Lonchura striata: one gene and its partners. The protein of the gene in region 2 interacts with the protein of the main gene of each other region in a pairwise test. Links are inferred from orthologs where the notes say so. Each region holds a gene or a part of one and is shown on either strand. Other genes may lie near its edges. The genes, in order: COPB1, TRIM37, PRC1 and FAM107A.

Evidence for each region.
Region 1: the proteins of TRIM37 (region 2) and COPB1 interact in binary tests that used the Homo sapiens proteins (3 or more experiments, as listed by UniProt). The two-hybrid records come from large-scale screens. The link is inferred for Lonchura striata from reciprocal best matches to the Homo sapiens genes TRIM37 and COPB1.
Region 3: the proteins of TRIM37 (region 2) and PRC1 interact in binary tests that used the Homo sapiens proteins (3 or more experiments, as listed by UniProt). The link is inferred for Lonchura striata from reciprocal best matches to the Homo sapiens genes TRIM37 and PRC1.
Region 4: the proteins of TRIM37 (region 2) and FAM107A interact in binary tests that used the Homo sapiens proteins (3 or more experiments, as listed by UniProt). The two-hybrid records come from large-scale screens. The link is inferred for Lonchura striata from reciprocal best matches to the Homo sapiens genes TRIM37 and FAM107A.

Annotation. Positions count from the first base shown.
Region 1 is NC_134608.1:50,406,411-50,414,332, reverse strand, and holds the start of COPB1 (coatomer subunit beta), read right to left. Parts: upstream 3,015-7,922; 5' UTR 2,830-3,014; intron 2,633-2,829; exon of another isoform or gene 2,503-2,632; intron 438-2,502; 5' UTR 377-437; coding exon 286-376; intron 1-285. Other genes in the region: PSMA1 (proteasome subunit alpha type-1), read right to left, coding at 5,401-5,457, 5,947-6,051, 6,746-6,825, 7,442-7,571. UniProt on the Homo sapiens protein: The coatomer is a cytosolic protein complex that binds to dilysine motifs and reversibly associates with Golgi non-clathrin-coated vesicles, which further mediate biosynthetic protein transport from the ER, via the Golgi up to the trans Golgi network.
Region 2 is NC_134622.1:9,024,422-9,031,602, reverse strand, and holds the start of TRIM37 (E3 ubiquitin-protein ligase TRIM37), read left to right. Parts: upstream 1-4,181; 5' UTR 4,182-4,346; coding exon 4,347-4,367; intron 4,368-5,610; coding exon 5,611-5,712; intron 5,713-7,024; coding exon 7,025-7,065; intron 7,066-7,181. Other genes in the region: SKA2 (spindle and kinetochore-associated protein 2), read left to right, coding at 275-361, 1,249-1,288, 1,916-2,048, 2,465-2,624. UniProt on the Homo sapiens protein: E3 ubiquitin-protein ligase required to prevent centriole reduplication. Probably acts by ubiquitinating positive regulators of centriole reduplication.
Region 3 is NC_134613.1:24,372,972-24,380,870, forward strand, and holds the start of PRC1 (protein regulator of cytokinesis 1), read left to right. Parts: upstream 1-4,892; 5' UTR 4,893-5,007; coding exon 5,008-5,033; intron 5,034-5,197; coding exon 5,198-5,330; intron 5,331-5,506; coding exon 5,507-5,629; intron 5,630-5,974; coding exon 5,975-6,208; intron 6,209-6,282; coding exon 6,283-6,453; intron 6,454-6,621; coding exon 6,622-6,771; intron 6,772-6,997; coding exon 6,998-7,145; intron 7,146-7,228; coding exon 7,229-7,365; intron 7,366-7,609; coding exon 7,610-7,705; intron 7,706-7,821; coding exon 7,822-7,899. Other genes in the region: VPS33B (vacuolar protein sorting-associated protein 33B), read left to right, coding at 121-198, 554-627, 1,443-1,529, 1,603-1,693, 1,866-1,940, 2,235-2,299, 2,364-2,418, 2,496-2,542 and 6 more. UniProt on the Homo sapiens protein: Key regulator of cytokinesis that cross-links antiparrallel microtubules at an average distance of 35 nM. Essential for controlling the spatiotemporal formation of the midzone and successful cytokinesis.
Region 4 is NC_134614.1:15,843,231-15,850,116, reverse strand, and holds the start of FAM107A (actin-associated protein FAM107A), read left to right. Parts: upstream 1-3,874; 5' UTR 3,875-4,148; coding exon 4,149-4,172; intron 4,173-6,886. Other genes in the region: protein FAM3D, read left to right, coding at 155-244. UniProt on the Homo sapiens protein: Stress-inducible actin-binding protein that plays a role in synaptic and cognitive functions by modulating actin filamentous (F-actin) dynamics. Mediates polymerization of globular actin to F-actin. Also binds to, stabilizes and bundles F-actin.

The DNA of each region.
Region 1 (7,922 bases), on a different chromosome or scaffold from region 2:
TGCTTAAATATGCCTTCGTCCAAGCAGGTATTACTTAAAACGCTCTCAAAAAGAAAAAAAAATCCGATTTTGCACAGACTGGGGAGTACACCAAAGAAATAAAATTATATAATGACATTTCTCTAAACACAGCAAACAGAGGAACATACATCTAGAGCTCAACAGAAAATAAACATGAAACAGACTTGTTTTAGCTTACAAAATGTAAACAATACTCTAGGAAAGGCACAATGAGTGACTAATTCAGGCAAAATGGAGTATCCTTCAATCACTGTCAATACTTGCCTAGGTCATTTTTTAAGCTGATTTCAGAAGGTGGCTCTGAATCCATGGGAACATTGATCAACGTGTAACACACGTTCTCTGCAGCAGTCATGGCTCTTGGTTACAGGAGTTCTCTCAAGGGAAGAATTATTTTCACACAAATGTCAGACAACCTAAAAACCAAGCAAACAAAGCCATCCCAAAGTTAAAAGATTTTATTAACAAACACAAATCATTATATTATTATAACTGACTTAATGGCTTGAAGGGATTGCTGTTTCTTGAGAAGCTACATGCAAAAGGCTTCTTGCTTTGCTACCACCCTGAAATATTCCTGTGAGCACCACAAAGATGAAGAGTATGACATTTTTCAGAGACAACAGAAAAAGAACAAAAACTTTCCAATATTTTGGGCAGTCAGGGATAACAGAAGTGTACAGGGCACCTGACTGAAGGCAAATGGATGCAGCTTCTCCCTTCTGAAGTCATACCCAGCTGTATACTCCCACTACCTTCCCTACACTCCTGTGTCCCTCCAGCTGAATCACCCAAGCTGCAAAATCAGCTGAAAAGCTTCACAGAAGAAAGAGAAAATGAAAAGATAAAGTTCTGAGCTCAATTAACAAACCAAATCAGTCTATGCAGGAAGCTTTGAAGATGAGCATGAGATCCAAGAGAGCAGAAACCAAGGATGGGAGAGAAGACAAAGTGAAGGAGACAGAAGCATTTTATCGCCAGGGATCATCAAATCAGCTCAACTCTACTGTCTCCACTAGACACTAATGAGGAAACCAAGTCTTTTTATGGTGAAAAAGGACAAGAAGGCTACAGATCTATCTAAGCTGCTGTGTGCCTGGCAGTCCAGGTAATGAAATCTGCTATTAAGCTCAATGCTCATTCTCAGATTTGTTTTTCCTTGTGTAATAGATATCTAGGATCAAATCAACCTTTTTGTTGTATCAATCCTCATTCTCATGTTTATTTATTCTTTATATAATAGACATCTAGGATCAAATCAACCTGCTTATTCTATTTCTTAAGTAATGAAAAATGCTCAAGCTTGAGCTTGCTTGGCTAATGCTAATGCTGTGATACTACACTGACAAAGCACAGCAAAGAAAACAGTCACTATTTATTACATGAGCAATTTTGTACTTTCTACAGAAATTGTGTCAAAAATAAATCAGCTTTTATTGACATTAATTGTCTGGAAGTCTGAGACTCCCTTTTCTCATCAAATGGGCACCCAGAGAACGTCACCCTGAACAGGGAGCAGGGAAGTTGTGCTGAGCTGGGCTGCTGTCCCTTTCTCCACAGAGGAAAACAACTCGCATCAATCAGTGCCACAACAACCACCCCAAAAAATACTAGCAATACAAACTTTTAAGGAAACAGTCCTCTTCCTGTTATGAATTCTGTATTTTAAGTCCTAGATCACTCAATCTTGTTGCTTACAAATATCTACATAAACCACCGATTCCTGAAATGACTGGATGTGGCACTTAGTGCCATGCTCCAGTTGACAAAGGTGGCGATCAAAGGTTGGATTTGATGATCTCAGAGGGCTTTCCCAACTGTTTTCTTGCCTCAGCAGCAGCTTTTTTGCTTACATTTCCCATGCTGTTACCCAGAATTCCTGCCTCAAAGCCCTGCAGCCAGCACCTTCAGCTACAAGAACAACTCACACAGACCATAAAGTAGATCCTTGTGAAAGCAGGGCAGGTATCTTTACTCAAAGACCTCAGCTGCAGAAATTTCCAAAATTACAGTGAAACATATCTCTGAAGCATGATAAATGAGTGTACTTTGGGCTCTGAAAAGCAGCAATGAAAAACAACTCTCTTAAAACACAGAGCTGGGAGATTTGGCAGGGAGAACCTGTTTTCCTCCTTGCAAGGCACAAAGACTTGAAATCAGAGAAATTGAGAGCCCACAGGGACACAGACGTAGGTGCTGCTTTAACTCTCCAGCGGTAACATCTCTGTCACCTGTGGGTAGTCACTGAATGAATGGAGTCCGAAGGGACTTTAAAGAGGAATTCATTCCAAACCCTCTGCCATCACCAGAGCAGGTTGCTCAGAGCCCCATCCAACCTGGCCTGGAACACTTGCAGGGATGGGGCACCCAAGGAAATCGAAAGTTGCAGAGTTTACAGAGGCCAGAAGACAAAAAGCCACGCCTGCTCGCCACCTACATCCCCGGGGAGCCTTAGGAACGGGGGCACCTAATGAACCAAACCTTGAGAATGCAGCGCTCCACTGAGGCACAATTATAGCACAGAGCGTTCCAAATGTTTACTAAAAAATCCGGTAAATTTCCAGCCGGCTGGGGGCTATTTCTCCCTTAATGTCCCCGCTCCTACTTCCCCTCCAAACCCGGGCATTTTAAGCTATGAGGCAAAACTTCCCGCAGCGCCGCGGCCGCCTGCCATTCCCCTGAGCACACGCCGAGCGCCGCAAGCCCTCCCGCAGCCGCCCCGGGGCCCTGCCGGGGGACACCGGGAAGCTGCCGCCGGGGCCCCGAGGCCTCGGGCCTCGCGGCGCCCAGCGGAGCAGCGGCGCCCACCCGTTCCCCCCGGCCCCGCGAGGCCGGCGCGGGCGGGCCGCGCGGCTCCGTACAGCGGCGGGGTCGGGCCGGTCCCGGCGGTGTCCCGGCGGTGTCCCGGCGGTGTCCCGGCGGTGTCCCGGCGCTCAGCCCGCGGCGCTGCCGCTCCGCCGATGGCTGACGTGGAGCCGCGCCCGCCCCCGCCACATCGCGCCTACGGCGGCCGCGCCGGGACACGCCTCCCGCCAGCGCGAACGGGGCGGCGCCGCCGCGCGGGAAGAGGGCGGGGCCGGGAGGGGCTGCGCGCGTGACGTCACGAGCCCGAGCGCGCGGCGGGGTTTTCCCGCGCGGGGGGATCCGGGAAAACAGCGGGAAAGAGCGGCCGAAACCGAGATTAAAAGCGCCGCATATATCGACAGAGATTTAGATATAGACAGACACAGATTTTGATATAGATTTTGATATTAGAGAATAGATAAAATAGATATATAGAGATGATATAGATGATAGATACATATAGAGATAGATATTGGACATAGTTATTAGCTATAGCTAATAGATATAGATGATAGAGAGATACAGATATTAGATAGCTATAGATCTAGCTATTAGATAGAGATGATAGATGGTGATAGATTATGATAGAGAGAAATAGAGAGAGATGATTGGAGAGAGATCAGAGAGAGAGACAGAGAGAGAGACAGAGAGAGAGACAGAGAGAGAGACAGAGAGACAGACAGAGAGACAGACAGAGAGACAGACAGAGAGACAGACAGAGAGACAGACAGAGAGACAGACAGAGAGACAGACAGAGAGACAGACAGAGAGACAGACAGAGAGACAGACAGAGAGACAGACAGAGAGAGAGAGACAGAAATATAGAGATGGAGATAGATATAGACAGATATAGATAGAAAGCAATTAGATAAATAACAACCAAAAAAAAGACAATAAAAGGGGGGCTCGGAAATGGTAAAGGGAAAAATAAATAAGAACAAATAAATAGGTGGGGAGAAAAAGTAATTGGGGGAAATCAGTAATGAACTGGAAAAATAGATTACGGGAAATGAATAAAGAAGAGGGTATATAAATAAATAAGGGAAAAGCAAAGGGAGGGAAAATGTGGGGAGTAAGCAAAGGGAGAGAAAAAAAACAATGTGGGGAGAAGCAAAGGGAGAGAAAAAAATGGGGGGTGGAAAAACAAGGGGGAAGCAAGGGGAAGGAAAAGAAGGAAAAAACCAATGGGAAAATAAATAAAGTGGAAAACATAAATAATGGTGAAAAAGTAATTAAGGGGAAAAATGAAAATGAATAAGAGAGGGAAAAATGAGTAAAAGGTGAAATAAGGGAGGAAAGAAATAGAAAAATAGAGAAAACGTAAAATAAAAATAAATTTAGGAAAAATAAAAGCAGCTTTTTCTAACACTTAAAAAACAAATATGCAGCCCTGGCACTGCTGTTCTGCTATTTTCATGACTGAACTATTTGTATGGATTCAAGACAGTATTGAAAGCCTGTTCAAAACAGCACCATGATTTATTGATTTTTGTTTAATTAAGAAATATTAATAAATTATTAATCTGAAGGTTCCAGGCTTTTTTTTTTTTTCAAGTACACTGAGCAGGCTATCAGGGCCTATGTGGGTCCACTCCAGAAGACTATTCCTTGCAATTTTCAATGCAATCACTGGGGAGAACAATTATATTAGTGATCCAACACAGAAAAACACGAACTCTTTCTTGCTTACAATACAGCATCCCGCCCAGGTCGCACCAATTCACTGGACTTCCCTGGCAGATGACCCTGAGGAACTCACTGTTAGTCCCAGACTTCGTGGCATTCAGCCCAAATCCAAAGAGTACCAGTTGCAGACCAAGCTGAAGAGACAAAGCCGTGGAGACCTCTAATGGGAACTTCTGGTGGGTTTTTGTTAACTCCAATTCAGCCCTCAGTGAGCTAAAAGCCCTGTTCTGCCCCAAGACTGGCTGATGGCTCTAAAAAAGACACTGGCAGTTCTAAAAAAGCTGGGGTTGAGCAAATTCCCCCAAAAAAACTGACCTTTTGACTGTCAGCTTCAAATGCCTTTTCAGTTGGGACAAGCTGACACAGGTAAACGCTGTTCCCTGTTTGCTCCATGACTATTTTATGGTTTCATAGGCATTTTAAGATCCCCTCAGTTCTACATGGTAAGCAAACACTCTAACAAATGGTCAAACACAGAATGGCAGCTTGGCATGACACTGCTATTTGTGAATAGCTGTTTTTTCAGACTGAAAAAAAACCCAAACTCACAGCAGAATCCGAGAAAGTGATTTATTTCCACTTGTCCTTATGAGTTAAAGACAGTATCTTTTCTTTATAAAACAGTATCGTGTACTATTTAGAAAATGATTACACCTTTCTTGTCCAAGTTACACCCAGATATGTCCTCCTGTCTATCTTTTAAGGATAGGTGGGTTGGTTGGTTTCTTTCTTTGCGAGCAATCCTCAGAATGTAGTATCATAAAACATATAGAGGTGAGGATAAAGTTACCAGCAAATGGATAAATGTTCCTGGATAATTATACATTAACAGAGGAACTCATCCACCAACTAGTGTTCCATCGGTTCCTCTGCCTTCTCCACAGTTTCTTCAACTGGCGGGACCAGCTTAGAGAGAGGGAAAAGAAATATTTTTAGGAAGGCAGAAGACAACACTTGACAAATCAGCTTTATCCCCATTGGAGCACCATGAGTGGTAAATGCAGCTTGTGTAAGCCAACAGCTCACAAATTACTGTTACCCACATTAAGCACAAGCAGGACATAGTTGGTAATTAGGAAACTACAGAGGCATCTTGCAAAGGGCATGAGAAACATATGCAACCACTTCTGCTGTAAAACTCGAAAGCTCCTACTTGATCAGAGATGAGGAAAGAAGATGACATTGGAACAGCCTGGCATAAATCCAGAATAAACTGATTTAATAAGCATCTGAATTATCAGATGATGCAGTGTTCATATAGTAACTACATATTTTAAAAATTACCTTCCTAATACTCTGGTACAGTAGTAGAGTTAAATTTATGTTAAACATAATAGATAATCTCTAACTATTGTCTTTCAACCAAGCCTATTTATTCATAACTGAACCACTCACCTTTCTCTGTGGTCTCTCCTCAAGACCTTCTAGGAATGGTGCTACATCATCATCATCATAGATGGTAAACTCCATGTCTTTACCCACAATTCCAATTGAAACATTCTGTCAAGCAAAGGGTCAGAAGCAGTGAGAAGCATTTTCCTGCAATTAACTTTGGCTTTACAGCTTTCATTTACAAAAGCTATCAAATTTCAAAATCTTCTAAGTAATGCCATTCAAGGGTTTAAATTTCTATCATTTTCTTTTTAATAACACACACAATTTCTCAAAACCACTTATTTTCAACTCATTTTGATTTTCAGTATTTTATGACCTCTAAAAAACATGGCAAGCTAAGAATAAAAAAACATGGAAAATGGTAGATAATTGGATATTCTAAGAATTTTCTTCTTCAACAGGTCCTCAATTCATTGTCAAAAGTTTGTGCAGCTTTGTGATGCTGGATGCTCTAGAAACTGCTGGTGCATAACCTCCACTCACCGCCCAGGTGAATTACTGACTGTGCTTACAATGCAAAGCTGGGATTCTACAGCCGCAGGTGATGCATCTTAACCACTGATCAAAGCTTAAGATAGAGTGAAGCCACCATGGAAACAGTGTTTTATTTAGTGAACGCATCGTTTTTGTGAAGAAACTTAAACCTGAGATGAACACAGAACAGTAGATAAACTGGCAACCTGAAATGAAGATATTATCTAGCAGTATTCAGCTTCAAAGTTTTGGTGCCAGCCATACTTCCAAGAATTTTGTCACAGTTACTTCAGAGTAACAATGGCAAAGGAAACCTAGTCCTTACCTTGGTGGTTAGATCCTGTTCAGCAGGAAGAGTCTCTCTCAGGGCTCGCAGTCCATGTTTAACTAGCTCATTTAGATTACCTTAAAATAGGATCAGAAAGACATTGACAACCTATATGGTATTACCTCTAGACACTCATTCCGCTTCTTCCTAATCCTAGCTGACAACTCCAAAATCAGCTTGACTCCCAGACTTCCTCTCCTTTCTGAGCAGAGCTGGTTATAAAAGTTTTCCTTGAGAAACCAGCCTTCCCCTATATTTGAGGCCAAGTGCACCCATTTTTGACCCCTGCCTTGATTTAAGCTTTTTCCCCCCAAGCAGGTATTAAATGGTTCCTCATCATCATCCTGTAAGAAAAATAAATTCACCACTTTAAATGCAGCACCTAAATACTTGCCCTGACATACTAACCCTGCTCTGCTATGGAAACATTTTTCCTGAGTTAAAAAGGGCAGAGGCTCTTAACGTTTTTCACAGCTTTTCTTTCCATTAGATGAAATAAACACCCACATGTTAAGACATGAAAATCTCAGCCATATTCTCTAAAATTTTGTCTTTATGCAGATTTACAGTTATGCCAAACTTGGTTCACAATATTTATCTTCATCTCACTCAATGCAAAAGAATGGAGTGGCAGCAGGAGATAAACTGCAGAATTGATGAATACCAGTGGGTAGAGAGAGCTCCACTACTCACAGTCAGTGAACTCAGTCATGTGCCTCTCCAAGTAAGTTCGTGCTGACTGTGAACGAGCACCAATGGACATTGCCTTGCAGTCAAAATAGTTTGCAGAGGGACAAGTCTGGAAGATGTGAGGGCCCATATCCTTCAAAGAGAGAAGAAAACCCCCACAGAATGTTAAACAAATATATAAATTCACACCGACTGCTGCTAGAGCATAAAATTTTTTAAAAGAGTTTTGCTTCATGGTACATCACACCTACATGTGTGCACAGAAACATGTTTTATATATACTTTATATTGCTGATCATATCACTGTTCTTACACAATTCTTTCAAAAACTGTTGTTTAAAGAAACACAACAACTATTTAAAAAACCCCAAAAACCTCTTTTCCTCCACTTCTCCCATCTGCAGCTTTTAGATGGGCAGGATGGCTGGCACAAAAAAAGTGTTTCTTTCTCTGTTCTACAAATTGCACTGTGCATAAGTAAGTT
Region 2 (7,181 bases):
ATAAAAGTCTTGAAATGAAATACCTTTTTTTTTTTTTTTTAATTGAAAAATTTCTCCTGCTTGACTAAGTTATAGTATTGGTGCTAGAGGAAGATTATTGTTGATTTTTCAGCAACACTTTACTTGTGCATTTGTTTTCAGTGGAAGGAAATCAGGAGTCTACTGTCAGTTTCCATGAGCAAAGGGCTGCACAAACATTGAGTCCCTCTGTAAATACCACCTCAGGAACTGAAGGATCAAACTTCTCTGTGTTTACTTTTCCTTATTTTCCCAGAGCTTACCTCTGTCAGCAGAAGAACAGGCTGCAACCCAGCAGTTAAACTTGCAATTTGGGGAAGAAATGGAACTTCCAGTGAAAGAGGTAAGTAGGGCATGGAATGGCAGTATTCCAGAAACATTTAATTCCTGCAGAAGGGGCTGATTTTGTGATTTGATACCTTTCAAGTGAAGATAATTTTTCAGAAATGGAATTACGTTCCTTAACAAACCTTTTCATTTTTATTCTGTACAGATTAAGCTTTTCTGATTGTTCCAATTAGATGCTCCACAAAGGAGAAATTACCCTTGATGGAAGACTTTGTTCCTGTTATTTTTTAATTGGGATATGTTTATGTTTCTTGGGAATGCAGCTGGTTGCTCTTGTTGATCTTCTTGATAAAGAAACATTTGGGTGGGAGTGAGGGATGTCATTGATTGAAACCAATGTGGGGAGAAATTTAATTTCCTGTGAAATATTAAATTTTGGGATATGAGTAACAATCTAGTTTAAGTGCAATGCAGTAGAACTTAGATCTAAATTAATATTTGTTAAAAAGTCAGATATTCTCCCATAGCTCGAGATGTAATTATCCATTATAATTATCTGCAAATGTTTGCTCTGGGTCTCATATTAAAAATATTAGAGAAGGTTAACAGAGGTTGTTTCTCTGATTGACCTTTTCTTTTTCAACTTCTCCTCACTTCCCACTGTCACATCTCACTTTGTGTCCCTTTATTGCCACACTTGGTTTACATGGAACCTGTGGAGAGGCTCATCTGACTTGCACATAAATCTTTCTGTATCCATTTTAAACTTAATTTCATTTTAAACTGTGCTTAATCCCTAAGATTTTGCTGTTGACTTCAGTGGCTGCTTTGGTTATCCAAAGGTAAAATGTAATTAATGTAAATTTCATGCAGAAATGAAACTGTGAAAAAAGATTTCTAGCCAAAACACTAACAAATACTGACATTATTGTTTATTTTTAGCCATTCTGCTCACAATCTCCAGTCCCTGGCTCAGCTGAAGGTAAGTGATTAAAAAAAATAAATTTCCCACTGATTTATTTTCAGAGAGGCTGTGATAGGCAGTAACTTCACTGTTTTCCCTCCCAAGCACCAATATTTACTGCTTTTATGTTAAGAATTTAGACTTTACTAGAAGGACCTGACCCCTGAGTTACATTCCAGGAATAGTTGCCATGTTTCTGGGATTTTTTTTCCCTTGCTTTCAATGGGATTGAAGTGGAAATCTTGTTGTGTTTAAGCTCTGGAAGAAATGGTGCACTAATCTTACCATAGAAATAGCTCTTTTAAAATTAATTTATCCCTGCTTATAGAAAAGAATTTTCACAGTTGGTTTTTGTTTGTTTTTTAAAAAAACAAAATAACCAAAACAAAGCCAGTTGGTCATTGACAGACCAAATTTGTCAATCCTCATCAGATCTCAAATTACATGGTTTTTTACTCAGTCTCCAGATCCAGTGATTGTCTTTTTCTCTCATTTCTCTTGCTGGAAAATCTTTCTTCAATCTCACTTAGAGGTGTTTTTAAACACTAATGGAAGCACTTTCTATCTTTGATGCAATTTCTAAAGAAACAAATATTTTCCATTTCCTTTCTTTTTAACAAATATCTTCTGTTTCCAATTTTTTAGAAGCCCAGTTCACACCATTGACAAAGGAAGCATTTCTGAGAGTGCCCAGGAACATCAGGAGAACTGTTAAGTTAACAGACTTGAACTGTTTGTACAGGGAGTTGTTTAACCATTTCATTGTACAGAACAACAGGTAAAGCTCAAAGCCATTCATTAAAATATTTTTATAAACTGCAAAGAATTTCAGCCTTTTCAAATTAAATAAAAGCAGCTAGTTATGCATATTTTAACTTCTAAAAGAACTGAGACTAAACCATGAGCCCAAACTCTGCCCTCCCCTTCTCTGGGGTGAGTGCTGGGGGTTTCTTACAGGCTGATGTTACAAAGAAAATGAAGTTTTAAACTCAGGAATTCTGTCTTTTTAGCCCTAAGATTAGCAAATGACTGCTGGGATTTGAGGTGGCATAGAAAAGTTGCTGGTAATCTGGATAAGTTTGAGATTTACAGAACATTCACAAATTCATTGATTAAACAGCATGTGCTTTTTAGCCTTTTTCTGCCAGAGCTGATGTTTGATCCCTGTTTTACTAAATTTTTTTCGTTTTACAGAGCAGCACTGAGTCTTACACAGATGAAAACAGTAATTAAGAAAGCCACTAATATAAAAATTCAAATCCTGAAAGAAATGGGGATTGTAGAAGTCGACAAACAAGGAAATATAAAATTGGCTGAGTTAAAAGAAAACTACTCGGACACAGAAGCATCTTGATCCAGCTCCTGGATTACTAAGGAGCAAGAATTTCTCTGAAACAAGAGTTCCCCTGTAGGAAAATTATTAATATTTCTGTATAAATATTCTGTTGATAATACTTGAAATTGGAGAGTTCAAAAACACTGAGGTTGGCACTTTACCTTACCTGTTTAAATTATTATGGTTGATGCATTTTTAAGGAATGTTGTGAGCCATGTGATGCTTCCAATTTCCTTGCTGCATTCCTGAGGGTCTTTTAAAGGCAAATAATCCAAACCTCTTAATTGTCTTTGCATTCCTAAATAAAGATTTGTTATACTTCATTTGTGTGACTCCTCACCCTGCTCCCTGAGCTGATTCATTTCCCTTTGATGTGAATTCCCTTGGGTTTTTCACAGTCCAGGCAGGGTTAGAAGGGAATTCTGGGCACTGCCCAGTCCAAGCCCCTGAAAATCCTGAAAATTCCCAAGGATGGAGAATTTACAACCTCTGTTACACTGTTTGACCACCCTAACAGTGAAAATCATAACATTGTTTTCTTATGTGTAATATTTCTATATTGTCCATTCTATATATATTATATACTTTTAAATATTCATATTGTTATATTTCAGCCTAATTTGAGAGGGTAAGATACATTAATTTTTATTAATTCTCTGTAATAAAAATTAATTTTCATTAATTTTTCTTTTTTGTGAAGAATTATGTCTGTCAAAGGAGAGAAATTTAATTTAGTGCTCTTAGGGAAGGAAAGGCTGATTTCTGAACCCATCCTTGAACTGCTTTAGGGTTTGATGGGAAGAGAAACAGGTTGAGTATTGAAGAGGAAAGAACAGGGATAACTTGATTTTATAATGCCTGCTGCCATGTGCGCCCTTTTAGAAGTAACTAATCAGTTTCAAGCAATTAATCAGCTTCACACACTGATTTAGTAGCTTTTAACCACACTGATCTTCTAATAGAGGATTCCATTTTTGCTGTGCCACTACCAACAGCAGCATTAAATTTCTAAATTTTATTGTTCTTATTATATATTATATATTATATATTATATTATATATTATATATTATATATTATATGTTATATGTTATATGTTAATGTTATATATTATATGTTATATGTTATATATTATATGTTATATGTTATATATTATATATTATAATATATTTTTATATTTGATATATACTTTTATATTATAATATATATGTTATTTTATTTATAACATTATTTTATTTATTTATTTAATTAAATTAATTTTTTTTATTTAGTTAATTTATTTAATTTATTTAATTTATTTAATTTATTGGTGAACGCTGGCTATAATAACTGAAGGTAGCTGCCAGTAGGGTGCAAAAACCCATCTCCTCTCCTGAAACCTCGCGGGTAAGGAAAGAATAAATAAAAATAACAGAGAAAAATAAGGAAAAGTAAAGGACATTAAAGTAAAGTAGAGGCAAGCCCGAGCGCCGCGCTCTCCCCGCCCGCTCCCCTCAGGCGCCGCCGCCCTCGCGCCGCCACGCCCCCTGCGGGCGGCCCCGCGCATGCGCAGCGCGGGCGGGGCGGGGCGGCCGCGCTGCCGCGGTCACGGCCCGGCGGGTGCGCGGGGCCGCGGCGGAGCCTCCGCGACGGGCTCTGCCCCTCGGAACGCCGCTCCCGGAGCCTCCGCTCCTCGCCCGCGGGCACGCACAGGGAGGCCGGGGACAGCCGGCCCTGCTCCCGCCGCTGGCGGAGCCGCAGCCATGGACGAGCAGAGCGTGGAGGTGAGCGGGCGGGCGGGCGGCGCGCGCTCCCTCAGGGCGGTGAGGGGGCGGCGGCGGCTCCTCCGCACCCTCCCGGTTTAACGGAGCCCCTCGGAGGGTCCGTGTGCCCTGTGTGAGGAGCGGAAGAAAGGCCGAGCGGTGGCGAGCGGCGCTGGGAACAGCCTGCGGCGCTGCGGGGCTTGGCTCGGGTGGGCAGGCAGGCAGCAGGTGGGGAGGGGGTAGGAAATGAGCTGGCGGCTGCCAGTTCCGGAGGGGGATGGATCCAGGGATGCAGGGATGCAGGGATATATGGATGGAGACCTGGCGCACACCCAGCCCGCCTTGGCACCGCGGAGGTGCAGGAGCGGCTGTGACCCGGCAGCTCCAACACCTGCTGGGGACTGTGTCACAGCCAGGCTGAGGAAGAATGAAAAGAAAGAACGGCTGCGATGGTCTCCTGTAAACGCATGTGGTGCGTTTCAATGGCTTGCAGCTGTTAAAGGAGACCTGAATGTGTGGGAGATGCTGTGGTATCTGTAAATTGAAGATGTCTTGCTTTTGTGCTGATTCACAATCTCAGTGCTGTGGGGAAATTAGCTCAGCTGAAGGACCTTACGAAGTTCCAGAGTTATAACCAGAAGTATTAAAACTCCTGTATGATACAAGATGTAAAACTTCCTTATCATTTAAAAATTATAAGTATGGAAACATTGCTTTCAAAATACCTTTCTCATTTGGAAAGGATTGATGAACCCAAGATTGATTAAATGGGGTGGGAGAGAGTGTAAAAATTGTGGGGCTAATGCTAATGGTAAGACCTTAAAAGAATATAAGTCTTATAAAAGTAAAAAAAAAATACCCAATTCATTTCAACACCTCTTTTATATTACACATACATGCACTTACCATGATCTAATAATATTTTAGTGCCAGTCCACTGCCTGCAGGTACAACACCATTTCTTCTGGCAGCTGCTCAATCCTGTGTGAACACATACAAGAGTGTCTTGGCTACAGAAAGTCCTGCTCCAAAAGAGAGAAGTTCAAACAGAAAGTATTCCTTGGAGAGAGGGAATAGTGTTATAAAACAGGTGCTGGTGCAGTGTAGGAGAAGCTGAGAGGGAGAGTTGTGGTGCGCAGGTTGTATCTCCCTCGGAGATGTGCTGTTTGAAACAGGACAGAAACCTGGCTCGGTGCCTGGGAAGCAAATGCAGCCCTGGTGCGTCTGAAGCATGTTTAACAATAGTGCTAATCCCCCTTTGCAGAGCATTGCCGAGGTGTTCCGATGTTTTATTTGTATGGAGAAGCTGCGGGATGCCCGCCTGTGCCCTCACTGCTCCAAGCTCTGCTGTTTCAGCTGTATCAGGGTGAGTTTGCTTGGTGTAGTCTGTTCTTTCAAAGGTTTGAGCTGCAAACTGATTGAGCTTATGAAAACATTCTTTTCCTGGAGTTCCAAGGATTCCTTTTTTGGTTTTTTTCCCCTTCTTTAGTTTCCCTTTCAAAACCTTTTATAACACCCCTGAGGAAGAAGTAGGCAAGCTGTGCGTTGCCTTCAGTGGTGCTAATTATAGGCACCATCTGGAATAATTGCTTTAAGAAAGAGACACACAATGATCCCTTCTTTAGCACCTCCTGAGAGTTGGTGATGCCTGTATGGAAGATAAAAGTTGGGACAGAAATCAGACGCTGACTTTGCACCTGGGAAGGTCACAGCATCACCTCGTGTATCCTGGAGGTGTTTTATAATGCCTGTCAGGCTGGTGTGGTGTGATCAGGTGGGGCTAAATCTTTCTCAGGGGAGTCTGAGGCAGCACCTGAATCCTCATTCCTTTGCTGAGGCCGTGGTTCCCAGTGTATCACGCTCCAATTCCAAATCCAGATGCTGTTTTGTGTTGCTGGAGCAGTAAAAAGTTCAGCTGAGGTTTCCAGACCTCAGTAGTATTTCCAGAAATTAGAACAGACATTCATCCTTCACTCTGGAAGCTCTGACAAGAGCTGTAGGTGAAGGATTCATGCTGCATATGAAGGATTTTAGATGACATATTGTTGCTGGGTGGTGAGAGATTATTCATGAGACTCTTTAAATGTAGTAGAGAGCTGACAAATATAAACCCATCAACTGCTGAGCTTTTACACTTGTGAGTTGTAGTGGGCAGGTGAAGTTCTTTGCTCAGCTGTTTGTCCCTGGAGCTTTCTGGAAGAGAAAAACTCCCAAGCTCCTTGTGGATTTGATCACTGAACTTCAGGTATTTAATTTGTCTATAAATAACTCAAGAAGAAGAAATAAATTACCTCGAATACTAATTAGACTGTGAAAAAGATGCTTGTGGTGTCTTTTTCTTTGTTTTATTGAAACATGCTCTTTAGTCTAAGACTCTGGGAATCTGCCAGGTGGGTGGTTTCTAATGCAATATTTGGTACCTCAAAATTCTCTATATAATTTTAACTGAAGCATCTCTGACATCTAAAGACAAGTGGTGGCTTGTTCCTAAGACACAAATAGAAGCTTTTTCTGTGACTAAGTGGTTGAACAGTTAAATTGAAAATTTGCTTAACAGGGAAAACATATAGGAAAGCTGTAATAAAAGTAAAGTAACTCCTAATTAATGATAGAACGTATTTGCCTGCAGTTCTTTCATTCCAGTCTGTTTAAAAAGGTTTCTCCTTTTTCCATCACAGCGTTGGCTGACTGAACAAAGAGCTCAGTGCCCTCATTGTAGGTAAGGTATTTTTAATATCAGGAATTAGGTGCATTGTCCTGTTATGACCAATCTCTTTTTCAGTGCAGGTTGCACTAAATTTATAAGCTTTAAGTTTTTTTTCAGACCTGCTGTTC
Region 3 (7,899 bases), on a different chromosome or scaffold from region 2:
CTGAGGCAAGGGCAGTGGCCAGGGCTGCCTGTGGGCAGCACATCTCCCCGAGGGGCAGGGAAGGCTGTGTGGGGCCGCAGGAGGAGCGAGAGGGCAGCCTGGCTCCGGCTCTCCCCGCAGACACCGACTACGTGACAGCACTCTGCTCCCAAGTGGTCTACGAGGGGCTGGTGGACGACACCTTCCGCATCAAGTGTGGTACGTGACCTCTGTGCCTGGGGCTCTGTGCTCACACCTCAGGGCTCTGTGCTCACAGCAGGGCAGCTCAGGGCTCTTCACTCAGGGCTCTGCATTCACAGCTTGGGGCTCTGTGCTCACAGCACGGGGCTCTGCACTCACCTGGCCAGCGTCTGCAGGGTTTGTGCCTGGCATTGTCTGGCACCGTGCTGTTCCCACAGGGGCAGTCCCAGCGTGGGGTGCTGCTGGAGGTCATTCACAGAGAGTCCTCACTTTGACCAAGTGACTGGGCTGGTACCCCCCTCCCTGTCTCTGCTGCCTCTTACAGCAGGGCTCGTGCACGTGGGACAAAGCAGCTCTCCATTTTTCCCTGCAGGCAGTGTGGATTTTGGGCCAGATGTCACCTCTTCTGACAAGAGTATTAAAGTGCTGCTCAATTCCCAGGACAAAGTGAGTCCCCTTGGTGGGAGGAGGCACAGTGGAGCATTCCCTCCCCTAAGCTTGAGCAGCTGGAGGCTGCTTGGAGCATGGATTCAGGCACAGAGACCAGAGAAACCTGGTGCAGCTCCACTTCTGAACCTGCCAGAGTCCCTGCATGCAGGGCTGTGTCACAAATGAGTGTTTTAAGGTCACTGAAGGAATCCCCAGCAAAGGCATCTGCAAAAACAGGTTTAATGTAAAAGCTGCAGCATGACAAAATTCATTGGCAAAGTTCTAAATTGTTAAAGCACACAGATAAAAAGCAAAAAAAAAATATAAATCAATGAATCCACATCAAAATCAACCCAAAAATATCTACATGGAGGTCAAGGTGGGGAATGAGGGGGGAATCAAAAGAATAGAAAAGGAATACAGAAGAGCCTCCTGTTGAGTCATGGGGTTCATAGTTATTTTCCATCCTGGCCACAATTCAGGTTGTATTTTTACTATGGAATTTGAAAATGAAAATATTACTCCATGTGGGTTTTTACTCGGGTTACAAAAATAAGTTTCCCAGGCTGTTCATTAAAAAGCAGGAGGTGGTTCCTAGCAAGAGTGTTTCTGCTGAGCTGGGAGGACCCAGGACATCAGGGCTGATCCCTGAGGAGCATGTCTCAGATCAGCTGTGGCTGGGCTCAGAGGGACACACTGGCACTGCTGTGCTGCCAGCCAGGGCTCCGGGGCATGGGGTGGCACGTGGCCCGCGGGTTGTGCGAGCATGGGCCCTGGGCTCTGTCTCCAGGGCTGCAGCCAGCCGGGCCCTGGCAGCTGTGGTGCTTCCCCAGGTGTTCAGCCAGATCCGGAACGAGCACTTCTCCAGCGTGTTTGGCTTCCTGAGCCAGAAGTCACGGAACCTGCAGGCGCAATACGACGTGAGTGTCCCCCGGCACGCGCGTGGCACCGTCCCTCGCAGCCCGGCCACGACCCCTGCTCTCCCTCCCGCAGCGGCGCCGGGGCATGGACATCAAGCAGATGAAGGACTTCGTGTCCCAGGAGCTGAAGGGACTGAAGCAGGAGCATCGCCTGCTGAGCCTGCGTAGGAACCTGGGGGAGGGGCCCTCGGCTGTACCGCGCGTGCCGGGGCTGCGGGGAAGGCAGGGGCTTGGGGGTCCTGGATGGGCCCGGCAGGGCAGGGGCTGTTGGCATGTGCTAATAGTGCCTGCAGAGCCCTTTCCCCTCCAAAGCTGCTCTGTCTCTTGGCTGTGTAGATATTGGTGCCTGTGAGTCTATCATGAAAAAGAAAACCAAGCAGGACTTCCAAGAGACCATCAAGGCTGAACACTGTGAGTGCTGCTCCATCTGTGCCCACCCCGCCCCAGTCTGACCCACGGCCTGGCTTGCCCCAGGCCCAGGCAGCCTCATGCCTGGGTGTTCCCTGCCTGGCCACATCCTCCCAGCCTCTTTTTCTGGGGTTGTGTCAAGATCCTAGGTAGGGTCAGGCTGCGCTCTCTGAGAGAGAACGTGTGCTGGGGTGGGGGCCCCATTCCCTGGGGTGTTGGGAGGGCAGCGGAGCTCACAGCCCAGCTCAGCGGGCTGGCAAGAGCCCTGGGCTGATGCTGTCTGTGCCCCTGCCGCAGCGCTGCTGGAGGGCTTTGACGTCCGTGAGAGCACCAGCTTCATCGAAGAGCACATTGACCGGCAGGTGAGAGCACGGGGACGCCTGCTGAGCCGCCCCGCCCTGCCCCGCTGAGTCCCGCTCCCCACAGGTGTCCCCCGTGGAGAGTCTGCGCCTCATGTGCCTCCTGTCCATCACGGAGAACGGTGAGCAACGCTCTGCTGGGCCAGCAGGGCCACCGAGCCCCAGCCCGGGCACGGGGCTCACCTGGTGCTCCCCACAGGTCTCATCCCCAAGGACTACCGCTCCCTGAAAACCCAGTACCTGCAGGTGAGGGCCAGGAGTCACTGCTGGGCAAGGGTAGGGTCCCCTCCCTGCGCTCCTGGCCACGAGGCGCTGGGCAGCAGCGCTCCTGGGGCTGAGCCCCAGCACGCCTGGGTGTCTGCAGGACAGACCCTGCCTGCACAGGCTCACCGTGAGCCCCAGCTCCACCTGCGCCTGCGCTGTGTTTGCTGGGGGCTCTGAGCACAGAGGGGCTCTGTCACAGTGTCCCCTGTGCCTCGCCGCAGAGGGCACAGCCTGTCTGCTTCCCGTGCTGGCAGACAGGCCCACACTGACGCTGCTGCCCCGTTCACAGAGCTATGGGCCCGAGCACTTGCTGACCTTCCACAACCTCAAGCGCATCGGGCTGCTGACTGAGCAGTCAGCTGGGGAGACCCTGACAGCCGTGGAGAGCAAAGTCAGCAAGCTGGTGACAGACCGTGCCGCAGGTGAGCCTGCCCCGTGTCCCTGGCAGCCTGGGAAGGGCAGCTGCTGGCCCAGAGCTGGCTGGAGGCATGTGGCAAGCGTGTCCCCAGCGATGGTGCTGCAGGCAGGGCAGTGGGCTCTGCCCTGGGGGCACCGGAGCTGGCAGCCACCACAGCCATTCTCCAGAACACACAGCTCTGCACACCTCTGCCAGCCTGGGCTGGGATCCAGGCAGAGCCTCTTAAGGTGTTTCTCCTCGTCATGTTTTCCAGGAAAGATCACTGATGCATTCAATTCTTTGGCCAGGAAGAGTAATTTCCGAGCCATAAGCAAGAAGCTGGGGTTGGTATGTCCTCAAGGGGTGCTGGCTGGCCACACTGCCCACAGAGCAGAGAGCTCTGCTAGCCTGTGCCCAGGCTGCAGGTTTGGTACCGCAGGGGGACACAGCTCAGGGCCAGAGCTGCTGCAGCTGCTCCAGGCAGCCTGCGGGCTTCTCCTGGGGGCTGGGGGCCACTGCCAGCTTTCCTGCCCTCTGTGCTTCCCCCACTCTGCCCTGGTCCTGCGCCCTGTGAGTGTGGAGCAGCACTGGGCCTTTCCTTGCCCCCTTCAGACAGCAGTGGCACTGGGCAGGCAGCCCTGTGTCCTCCATCCTGAGGCAGAGGTCCTAGGCTGCTGGCAAGGTGACGTTTCTGGGGCATTTCAGGGACAGTTCTGTCCCTGGCTCCTGCTGCACAGCCCACCCAGGCCATGTGATGGTGGGGCAGGAGGTGGGGACGGAGCCGTGCTCCAAGCATTTGTCTCTCCTCACCCCTGCACCTCTGAGGGGCAGTGAGGCCCCAGGCAGCCTGGTCCTGTACCCCTGGTGTCCCCTGTCACCGCAGATCCCTCGGCTGGATGGCGAGTACGACCTCAAAATGCCTCGGGACATGGCCTATGTTTTTGGCGGGGCCTACGTGCCCCTGAGCTGCAAAATCATCGAGCAGGTGAGCCCGTCCACTGTGGGCACATCCCGCAGCCCTGCCTCGCCTGGGGAGCGCAGCAGGGCTCTGCCCAGGGCTGGGGCCGATGGTGCCGCTGCTCCGAGCGCTGGGCCGTGCCCAGAGCCAGCCTGAGCCTGCACTGACCCCCAGGTGCTGGAGCGCCGGAGCTGGCAGGGCCTGGAGGAGGTAGTGCGGCTGCTCAACGGCAACGAGTTCTGCGTCTCAGGTACTGGGGGGCCGGGCGGCGGGGCCGGCAGCCGGCACGGCCTACAGCACCCTGCCCTTGCAGACAGCACTGCGGAGGACAGCCCTGCCGGGGAGTCCCAGCGCGTTGTCCTCGCCGTCTTCCTGGGGGGCTGCACCTTCTCAGAAATCGCGGCGCTGCGCTTCCTGGGCAAGGAGCAAGGTAGGGGCCGCCTGGAGCGGGCAGGAGCCGCCGCAGCTCGAAGCCAGGCGGGCTCTGTGCTCTGCTCGGCGAGTGGAGCCCGCGGGCACGGGCCGGCAGTGCCGGTGCTGCCCGCAGCGCTGCCGGGGCACCAACGCGCCTTCCCTGCAGGGTACAAGTTCATCTTCTTGACCACGGCCATCACCAACAGCGCCCGCATGATGGAGGCCACGATCGAGGCCAAGGCCTGAGCCCCGTGGGCAGCGCGCCAGTAAAGATCCGTGCTCACACCGACCCGGCCTGCGGCTGTCTGTGTGCGGCCGGGCACTGCGGGAGCGCGGCCCCCCGGGACCGGCGCGGCCCTGAATCGGGACGGGCACGCGCGGGCAGCTTCCGGGGACGCGCCGGCGCGGGCACGCGCTGGCGGCTCCCGGGGACGCGCGGGCCCCGCCCGGGCGCGGTCACGGCGCGCTGCCGGATGCAGGCGCGCGGGGGCGCCGTTACCGCGCAGGAGGCGGCGGCGGTCTCGCTGCGGATTGGCTGGAAGCGCTCAAGGCTCTGCGCTACCATTGGCTGGTGGCTGGGCGGGGGCGCGGCCCGGTTGGCGGTTGTGGGCGGGGCCGCGGCGGCGCGGCAGCCAATCAGCGCGGGCGGGGGGAGTTCGAATCGGCGGAGCGGCGGCGATGGAGCGCGGAGCGACCAGGAAAAGGTGCGGGACCGGGAAACATGAACGGGAACGGGGAACCGGGGGGAACCGGGCTGCGGGCACAGCTGGGTGCAAGCGCTGCGCGCCGGGGCGGGCGGTCCCGGCGGGACGGGCGGAGGCTCTCGGGCCCCGAGCCGCCGCCGCCGCTGACGGCCCGCCGTGCCCAGCGAGGTGCTGGCGGCCGAGGCCGTGTCCTGCCTGAACCGGGCCATGGCGGCGCTGCGGGACATCTGGGAAGAGATCGGCATTCCCGAGGAGCAGCGCCTGGAGCGCACGGACGTGGTCCGGAAGCACATCAAGGTGAGCGCGGCGTCACCGGTTCTTCTGTTGAGCCGCGCAGCGGCAGCCCGGGACCCGCCCAGCGCGGGGCCGGCTCTGCGGGGAGCACCGGGGGTCTCCGCCCGGCTGTTGCCGCTCTCCGCCCTCGCCCCGTGCAGCCCCGGGCTGCCCTGCCTCTGACCACACCTGTGCCGCAGAGTCTCCTGGACATGATGGTGGCGGAGGAGGAAAGCCTGAAGGAGCGGCTGCTGAAGAGCATTGCCCTGTGTCGGAAGGAGCTGGACACCCTGTGCAGGGAGCTCCAGCTGGGCCCCTTTGAGGTGAGCTGTGGGACCCTGGTGTTGTTCTGGCAGCACTGCTGCTGCCTGGCCTCTGCCTGGGTGTCCCAAGAGGCCAGAGCTTAGAAGGCAAATATCCATCCCAAACTGCTTTTCTGGGAGCTTGGTAGAGCTAAGGGCTTTGTGGCCCCTCACAGGCCAGCACTGGTAGGGGGTTTGTGGTGTTCTCCAGCACACTGTTTTGTGTGTTGCTGGTGTTCATGCACCTTCCTGGGGAGCATCTCACTCAGACCCAGGCCTGGCGGCCCCGGGCTTTGCATAAAAACCTGAAGCATGAGCCAGGTGTGGGAGAAGTCTGGAACAGAGCTGATTTCTGGCCCCTTGCAGACAGAGGAGGAAAGCACCATCCTGCAGATGGAGAAGAACCTGCGCACATGTGTGGAGGTGCTGCAGAAGCAGAAGCGGGACCGCAAGCAGGAGCTGAAGGCCCTGCAGGAACAGGACCGAGCCCTGTGTGATATCCTGTGCACAGCCCTGTTCACCATCGACACCGGCAGCGTGCCCAGCCTGGAGGACCTGGACCGCTACCGGCGCCATGTGGCATCCCTCAGCACCCTGAAGGTGAGCCTGCAGGGTCAGGGGGCCTGAGGGGCTCACAAGGGGCCCCTGGTTCCTGACACCACCCTCGCCCTCAGGAGCAAAGGCGGGAAGAATTTGTCACCAACAAGCGTCAGATCATTCTGCTCATGGAGGAGCTGGACCACACTCCGGACACCAGCTTTGAGCGGGACGTGGTGTGTGAGGATGAGGAGGCATTCTGCCTGTCCCAGGACAACATTGTGGCCCTGCAGACGCTGCTGCAGCAGGTCTGTTGTGCTCTGAGGCAGTGCTGTGGCTGCCGCCGTGTCGAGAGCGGGCGCTGGGCTCTGGCGAGGCTGTGTGTCCGAACACGGGCCGCTGGGGAGCTCTGGCGTGCCGGCACGGCCCCGCGGGCGCGGCAGGCTCGGGCTGATACCCGCTCCCTCTCGGTGCAGCTGGAAGCCCGGCGGGCCCTGAACGAGGCAGTGTGCGCGGAGCTGCGCACCAGGATCCTCGCGCTCTGGGAAAGGCTGCAGATCCCCGAGGAGGAGAGACAGGCCTCGGCCGTGCACCTGGCCGGGTCCAGGGCGCGAACCAGGAGAGCTGTAAGAGCCCTGTTGTGCTTGTGGAGGGAGGGCTGGGGGCAGCAGCTCTGGGATCTCACGCTCCTGGTTGCTCAGGGAGACCAAATTCTGGCCAAATTCTGCCTGCTTGGAGGGAGGTGCTGGAGGTTGGTGCTGGCAGCTGCCTCATTCTAGAGAGCGGCTCACGCAGAAGATGAGCCCTGTTCTCCCCTCTTCCTCCCTGACCTGTGCTCTGCTCCCGGCACAGCTGCAGCAGGAGGTTGACAGTCTGGAGGAGCTGAAGCTGCGGAACATGAAATCCGTCATCCACGCGATCCGGGCAGAGCTGGCTGACTACTGGGACAAATGCTTCTACAGCCAAGAGCAGAGGGAAAGGTTCAGCCCCTTCTATGATGGTGGGTGCTGGCCATCCAGGCAGATCTGGGGAGGAATCCAGGGGTTCCAGCAGCCCCCTGACCTGGCTGTTGTGCCCTTCCAGAGGATTACTCAGAGAGCCTGCTCGAGCTGCATGACGCTGAGGTGGGCAAGATGAAGATGTACTACGAGACACACAAAGATCTGTTTGAGGCTGTTCAGAAGTGGGAGGAGAACTGGAAGCTGTTCCTGGAGCTGGAGGTATTGTCCAGGCTGGAACATGTGGGGTCATGGCTCAGCGTGTAACTCTGCTCCCAAGGGAGAGCGCTCTGGGAAGGAGCAGGGAGCCACTGGGAAGCCGTGATGGGCCAGTACAGGGATGAGGTGCTGTGTTTTGAGCACTGGGGTGTTTGTGCAGGGCTGGCTTCTCTGGGGCCTTCATCACATGTGGTTGAGGGGATTGGGTGGTGTGTTTGTGTCGCTCCTGACCACCCTTCTCTACCAGAGTAAAGCAAGTGACCCCAGCCGCTTCACCAATCGAGGAGGAAACCTTCTGAAGGAGGAGAAGCAGCGAGCAAAGCTGCAGAAGACGCTGTCTAGGGTAGGTCCAGCCCTGGGGAAGGACCTGTGGTCCCACTGACACAGAAAAAGGGATCCTTGGGTGTGGGGACACCTGTGTTTAGGGCAGCCCCTACACTGCCCTCATGTTCTGATCAGCTGCAGGAGGAGCTGGAGAGGAAGGTCCAGACCTGGGAGGAGGAGTTCAAGGGAGCTTTCCTGGTGAAGGGGCAGCAG
Region 4 (6,886 bases), on a different chromosome or scaffold from region 2:
GCACCCCCCAAGCTACATCTCACCCACCTGCCTGCAGAAGACAAGCACCAGTGGCATTGTCCCCCACGCCAAACCGAGCTGCAGCTTTTGCCACCTTTCCAACTTGCACTGCTCCAACCTCCTTATTCATCTTCTCTCTCTCTTATTCCTGCAGTACATTAAAAATGATGGAGAGACAAATAAATATGAGGGCTGGCCTGAGCTGTTGGAGATGGAGGGCTGTGCCCCCAGGAAGATGGACTAGCATCAAACTCCAGCCTGCCATGGAGGGCAGCTTCACCAGTCACACAGGGACACCAGCCCCATCGTGGGGACTGCAGCCTCTCCACTGCCAGGTCACAGAGCCCAGCAGCTGCTGCCTGCTCATGGGAACTGGCTGTTTCACAGCAGGAACTGTGCATGGCTTGGAGAAGAGCTGTACAAGTGCCTGCAGAGCAGAGCAGACACGTGGCCAGACTGCAGCCAAGCCATCCTCATCAATGGGTCAATTTGGGGTATTTTATTTTTCTATCTTTTAACTAAAAACTTTGTAGAAGGTTTTGTAAATTTCTTCAATGAGATTTCTAATTACAAAACACTACCTTCTGCCTTCCATTTTCAAGCATAATCAACACTTTCTCCCACAGGCACAGCATGCCAGGTCCTCTGCCACCAGTCCAGCATCACCATCACCCATCCCACAGCCCTGCACACAGGACTCCCCCTCCTCACATGGCACAGGGTAAAGTCATCCCTGGGGATGCTCAGACTTTGGTGGTTTCCCCTTGGAGCTCTTGCCAATGTCCTACAGTCTCCTACAGCCACAATATGGCCAGAAATCCACAGGGATAGCACACAGCAATGTAGGTTAATATTTACAGACCAAAGCATCATTCCTGGGTGTTAAAAACTGGTTTAAACCCAGAAGAGCAAAGAAAATAAGTCTCTATGTATAAAATAGAAAGAACTTTGAAGGTTCAAAATCTTCCCAAAAACAAGATAAAAAAACAAGCAAGATTAAATGTTGATACCAAAAAAATTGATAGATTTTGATTTAATAGAAAGAGAGGCAAAGAGAAAGAAAGTGAAAAGTAGGGAAAAGTTCGAAAATACTAAGGTTACTTTTAAAAGCATAGGATAGGTCATCACCTCACCGTACTACCTTGGCTGCTGCTGAGACAGGGTGTGGGGAGCAGAGCAGGTTTTGTCCTTCTTTCTCTGCTGTTTGAATTATCTTATCTGCCCCCCCAACTTCAGGAGCAGTTTGGCTGGGATGCAGCCACCCATCCTTAGGATGAAGGAGCCATGCCCGGTCTCTGCAGCCAAACCTTGGTCCACTCGTGGTGCTCCCTCCCTGCCATGGGACACAGAAGCAGGCAAGGGTTCCACAACTCACTCCTGACTTCAGTCCAGGGCTGCAGGATCAGGGGTTCCTCCCCAAGCAGGCAGTGTCATGGAGGCCTTAGGGTGTCCCACAGCAGGCAATGGTGGTGGAGGCAGGGGAAAGGCAAAGGTCAAGGATTCTGCCCCTCGCTTTTCCCTCCACATTTTGCACAAGGTTTGCACTCCTTTTTATGGGTCTCAAGGCAGTCCATCCCACCCGTAGTTTTCAGGTGTTCAAGAGTGATGATGATAAGCAGACATAATGACAAAAAAATTTTTGAAGCCTTTCTCGTATTATCAGGTTCTTACACCAGGTTAAATCCAAGCTAAATCCTCTGTGGCACACCCCTATCAAAGGCCAGGATAATGCCAGGGTTGCGCCAGCCTTGCTTTGTCCTCAGGGATGGATGGATGGATGGATGGATGGATGGATGGATGGATGGATGGATGGATGGATGTGCAGGGTTTCTTGGGCAGCTGAAGTTGTGCAACACAACCAATAGGTGGGAGCCTTTTACCGGTAGAGCCGGGGCCAGCACCGCTCCGGAGCGCTACAACGCGCCCGGGCTGGCACCGCTGGGTCAGCCACACACCGGGAGCTGCAGCCCAGCCTGGGCCAGCCGGCACCACGGGGAGAGCAAAGATCCCTGCCCGAAGGCGAGCAGCAAAGCCCCACAGTGCTCCTAGAGCAGTCCCCACGCTGCTCCCCAGCACCGAGCAGGTCCTGGGGAGCATCTGCCCCCCACTCCTGCCCAGATGCACCAGCCAAGCACGGTCTGCTCCCAGCCCCTCCCCGAGCCCCGGCGCTGCTGGGATCAGATGAGCTCCACGGGTGATGGCTGGGCTTATCTGCCATCAGAGACAAGGATGAATTTGCATCACATACAGACTTTAATTTCCGATGATTGTATCTGGTTTTTCCCCATTCTCTGAAGCAGACCAGCAGTTTTGCAAAACATGAGGATGGAGTGTTTCTCCTGGAGCAGCCTTCTCTGCATGCAACAGCCCCTGCACAGCTCCTAGCGGGCACTTCACAGGGTTATGGGAGCTCTCAGGTCACCCCAGGGGAGCAGAAGTGAGGAGCACAGGCAGGATAAGGCCAGGAAAGGACACAGCCTGTTCTGTGCTGGCCACCTGTGGAACAAAACCCTGGATCCAAAACTCAACACCACCAATCTATCAGTTTTCCCTAAACAAGGAAAAATCCCCACATAAACTGTGTAACACCTGTAAGGGCTTCCAAAGGCAGAACTGAAATAAAACCCCGAAACAGCCACCACAGAGGAATCCCCGAAGAGGTGTAGTATTTTATCCCAGCTTATCCTCCCATGCTCTTAGCACACACCTGATGGTACTGAGGGAAACCTCTGCCATAAATCGATCCCTAAATCTGCTGCAACAACAGCGGTTAATCCCCAGCGCTGAATCATCCCTACCCATGGCACAGCAAGAAATAACACAACCAGCAGACACAACAGCCCTGCGAGCTGCCAGCATAAATATGCCAACTATTTTAAGCCCCTCAAAGGATCTAGATTCACTCATAAAGCAAACTGAAAACAGCCCAAGAGCTGTAAAGGTGGCTCCACAGGGCAAACCAGAGCACAGCATCAACTACAGCCCCAAAAACAACCAGCCCCATTCAGCCGCAGGAAACTCTTCCTACCCCTTGCAATGCACATTAGAAATCTGGTTTAAAGCCAAAATAAAGGAAATTTATGTTTCAGCATGCTACAGGCAGTTAAAACTAGCTCTGAATCCATCACAGAACAGTTACTAAGGTACATCACTATTTTCAAGAAATAGGGAGAGCTAAAAATGCAATTCCTGTGCAGGGACCTTCAGCCAGTGTTTTCAAGAGTCATTCCTGCCAAAGTCCCTGTGTCCTGATAAATAAATCAGAGTTTTTTAAATATCCAGACACTGAGAGGTAGAGAATAAATATGAATTCATGAGTCAAACTGAACTGACTAATTTCTTTAAATGGATCTGAAAAGGACAGTGGGTGCAGGGACAGCAATCTCCAAATGAAGTTTTGCAGTGCTGTGGCATTTTGAAAGCTGTATTACTGCAGGGACAGGCACCTACCTGGCTGCTCTGCACTGTGCTGCATCCCCAGAATCTTCACCAAACACAAGCCTGAGCCGCCCAGACTCCCAGAATGCAGCTTCAGGTAACCTGGGCTCACCTGGGGTCACAGGAGGCACCAAGGCTGCAGCAGCAAACAGGCAACCTGGGGTGTTTGTGGGAGCAAAGTTTGCAAAATCCAGTGCTGCAACAGGAGCTGGGAGCCAGGATACAGAGGCAGAAGAGGGATAATCTTTCTTTATATTTAAGGGTCCATTTGGGCAAAGCACCAAAGGAGTATCTAGGAAAGATGCCACAGGCAAGGACCTGCGGGTGCCGGGCCGCAGCTGGGCGAATCCGCATCCTGTGACATCTTGCCCTGTCAAGTGCAATTACTGTAATCTTCCACAGCCTCTCAAAATACGGATCCCGGCTTAGAAACCGGGCATCCACAGCATGAAAGCTGCCTTTGTGCCCGGGCAGAGCCTGGGTGCGAGCCAGCCGTTAGGTGCATGAAGAAAATGAGTTCTCCACGTGCTGGAAGAAGGGAGGAAAAGCGAGCTTTCCCCCCCGAGCCCGCCACACTCGGGCTGGATTTCACCCTCGGCTCCCCACAGCAGCGGCGGAGGGGCCGGGAGCAGCAGGGCCGCCTGTCCCCGCCGCTGTAACGGGGCCGTGACCGCAGCGAGCCGGCGGCTCCCGCAGCCTGCGCAGCCACCATGGGGGCGTCTCACGGCAAAAAGGTAAAAAGCTGCCGGGGCGGTTCTCCTCGGGCTGCGGTGCGAGAGGTGATGGAGAAGGCACCCTGTGCTCACATGGGACCCGCTCTGCCCCACGCGTGCTGCGGCAGCCGCGATTAAGGGAAGGGACCGCTCCTGGGTGTGGTGCCTCCCAGCAGCGCCGCGTTAAGTAATTCCGTCTAATGGGCTCAGCATCGCGGCCTGCCGGGGATTTCAGGACAGCAAGGAGGGGGTGAGAGCATTGCAAGTGTGGCTTTAGGACAGACAAAGTTTTGTTCTCTAGGGAGAAATGTTAGATTTGTTCTGAATGCCTCCAGCAGCCTCTGGGATGTCTCCTGTAGATGCAGGGCAAAGCAAGTCCTGAGTGTTTCTTGGCCTGGGAATTGATGCCAACTCCCTCCCAGGACAGGGAGGGGCTGGGCCGGGTCCCACAGCACCAACGCGTATCCCTGTCCTCCAGATTCCCTGGGGAGAGTGGTCAAATAGCTCCAAATGGAGAGTTTTATGGAGTCAGAGCCTTGCAGAGGTGGCTGGAGATGGTTGTGATGAGGATGTTGCATGTCATTTTGCTTCCATGGCTTATGACATCAGTGCCTAGAGATGCATCATCCCTGCTCAGTTGCAATGCCCTGTCTGGAGTAAGACTTCCATAGCTCATCTCCCAGGTCTAAGAGAAACATTCCTGTGCACTACACTAGGTAATAACTTCCACTGGAATGGGGACAGAGGTGACCCTTTGCCCCAACAGGGACCCTTCATGCTCAGCTGAGTATGACTGAGGCCTTCAGAGGTATGGTCACTAAGTGCCTCTCAGAATTTTGCCAACTTGCTGGACTTTCTTCCAAAGCCAAAGCTAGACACCCTTGCAGGGCAAGCATGTGAAAAACTGGCCATTGGCCAGCGTGACCAACACCCAGAAGGAAAATCAGAGCTGGAGTGGGAGTAGTAAAGATGTATCTGTTTTTCTGGACTTCTGACAAGTGCCAGGTGCAGGAGGTGCTGCTCCCAGCCAGCCCCAGCTGCTCCAGCTCCCATCCCAGCTCCCAAGGCAGGGCTGGCTCCAGCACACACAGGAGCCGAGGCTGTTCCTGTGGCTGTTCCTGTGGCTCAGGACTACAACACACCCAGGAGGAGCCATGCTCTGCCCACAGCTAATCCCCAGGCCCCTGCTCACGTGGCCCTGACCTTCAGGCCCCAGCGCATTTGTAGAGGCATTACTGGGAGCAGGGAAATAAGCTGGTTAGGTCAGGCTTGGCTCAGTGCCACCCAGTTAAGCCCCGCTGCATACAAAGCAGCCCATGCCAGCCTCCTGACCACCAGACCAGGCTGCTTTTGGACAACTTTGCCCACTGTTCCCTCTCTCTGAAACACCACGATCCCACCACAGCCCAGCACTGAATGGCCTGGCTTTGAAATGCTGCTGGGAGCTCAGGCTCTCCAGCTTCCTGGCAGCTCCTAAAAGCTGAGACAGTTTTACTTTCATGGGTACCAAAAGGTCAGAGATGTCACTCCCATTTCAGCCTCCCGAATGTTGCCTGGGTTGACAAAAGCCTGTGCCACTGCCCAGCTGGCACCAAGCAGGGACGTCTGACTGGCAGCTCCTGGTTCTTTACCCTTAGGCTGATGCTGGTGGGAGATGAAAACAAGACAATTCTTTCTGCTGCCTTTCCAGGGTGGGTGTGAACAGCAGGATCCAGCTCTCCTGAAGAGCAGGATGAGTCCAGGTGACAGGAAAGCTTCCCTTCCCCCAGCCCTTGCAGAACCAGGGCTCAGGGACCTGAGGCACAGCTCAGGGCACAGGGACCTGCCAGGGCTGAGCCCATGTGTCAGCAGCAGCCCAGAGAGGACCCAGAGCACAGAGCAGGGCTCAGCACCCCTGGCCAGCACAGCCTGCATTAGCAGTCCCAGCTGCACCTCTTTCAGGCTTAGTCCAGAACAGCACTCCAAGGGGATTACAGTAGTGGATTGTGGAGTGCAAGGCAATCCCCAGCTCCACAACAAAAGGGTCCGGAAAGGCTGCCAGCATGGCTCCGAGGACATTTTTATTTTAAAAGGCTGCATCTAGTCCCAAAAAAACTCTTCTCGTATCACCAGTGTTCTGTGGGCCCAAGCCAACAGCAGGGCTCCAGCAAGACACAGATTTTTGCTGGGCTGCCCTTCTCTTGAAGGGAAGGCAAGGACTTTGCCACAGGCTGGTTCGTGCGTGCTGCAGAGCTGGTGATGATTCCCTGCTGATTCCTCTGCTCTGCAGGGCTTCAGCCCCACTGGTGTGGCTGACATCCCTCTAACCCCAGCAAACATCCTTCAAATAATCTGAAAGCACAGCCTCATCAGCAAGAGATTCCCAGGGTGCCAGGGCAGATGCTCCATACCCTCTGGCAGTGGAGGAGGTTGTTCCCAGGCACCTGCACCTCTACAATTCTTTTCTCCATGCTTTCTCAAGACAGAGTTTGCATAGTGGCTGTTTCCCCAGGGAAAGTTCTCTGTCCCCAAATTCCCAAGAGTGTCAGTTTACACTAATGTCAGATGAGCCTGGATTAGCCCTGCTGCTGAGCAGGGAGCTTTGCTCTGTGGCTGGTTTAGAACAACAAGGGGCAGCACGCCAGTGCCAGGGAGAGAGGTTCTGCTTATTCAGGCAAACCACAGTACCTGGCTGCCCATGCTGAAAACAGGGCTTTGAGAACATCCTTTAAAACTCCTCCATCTGAGCAGGACAG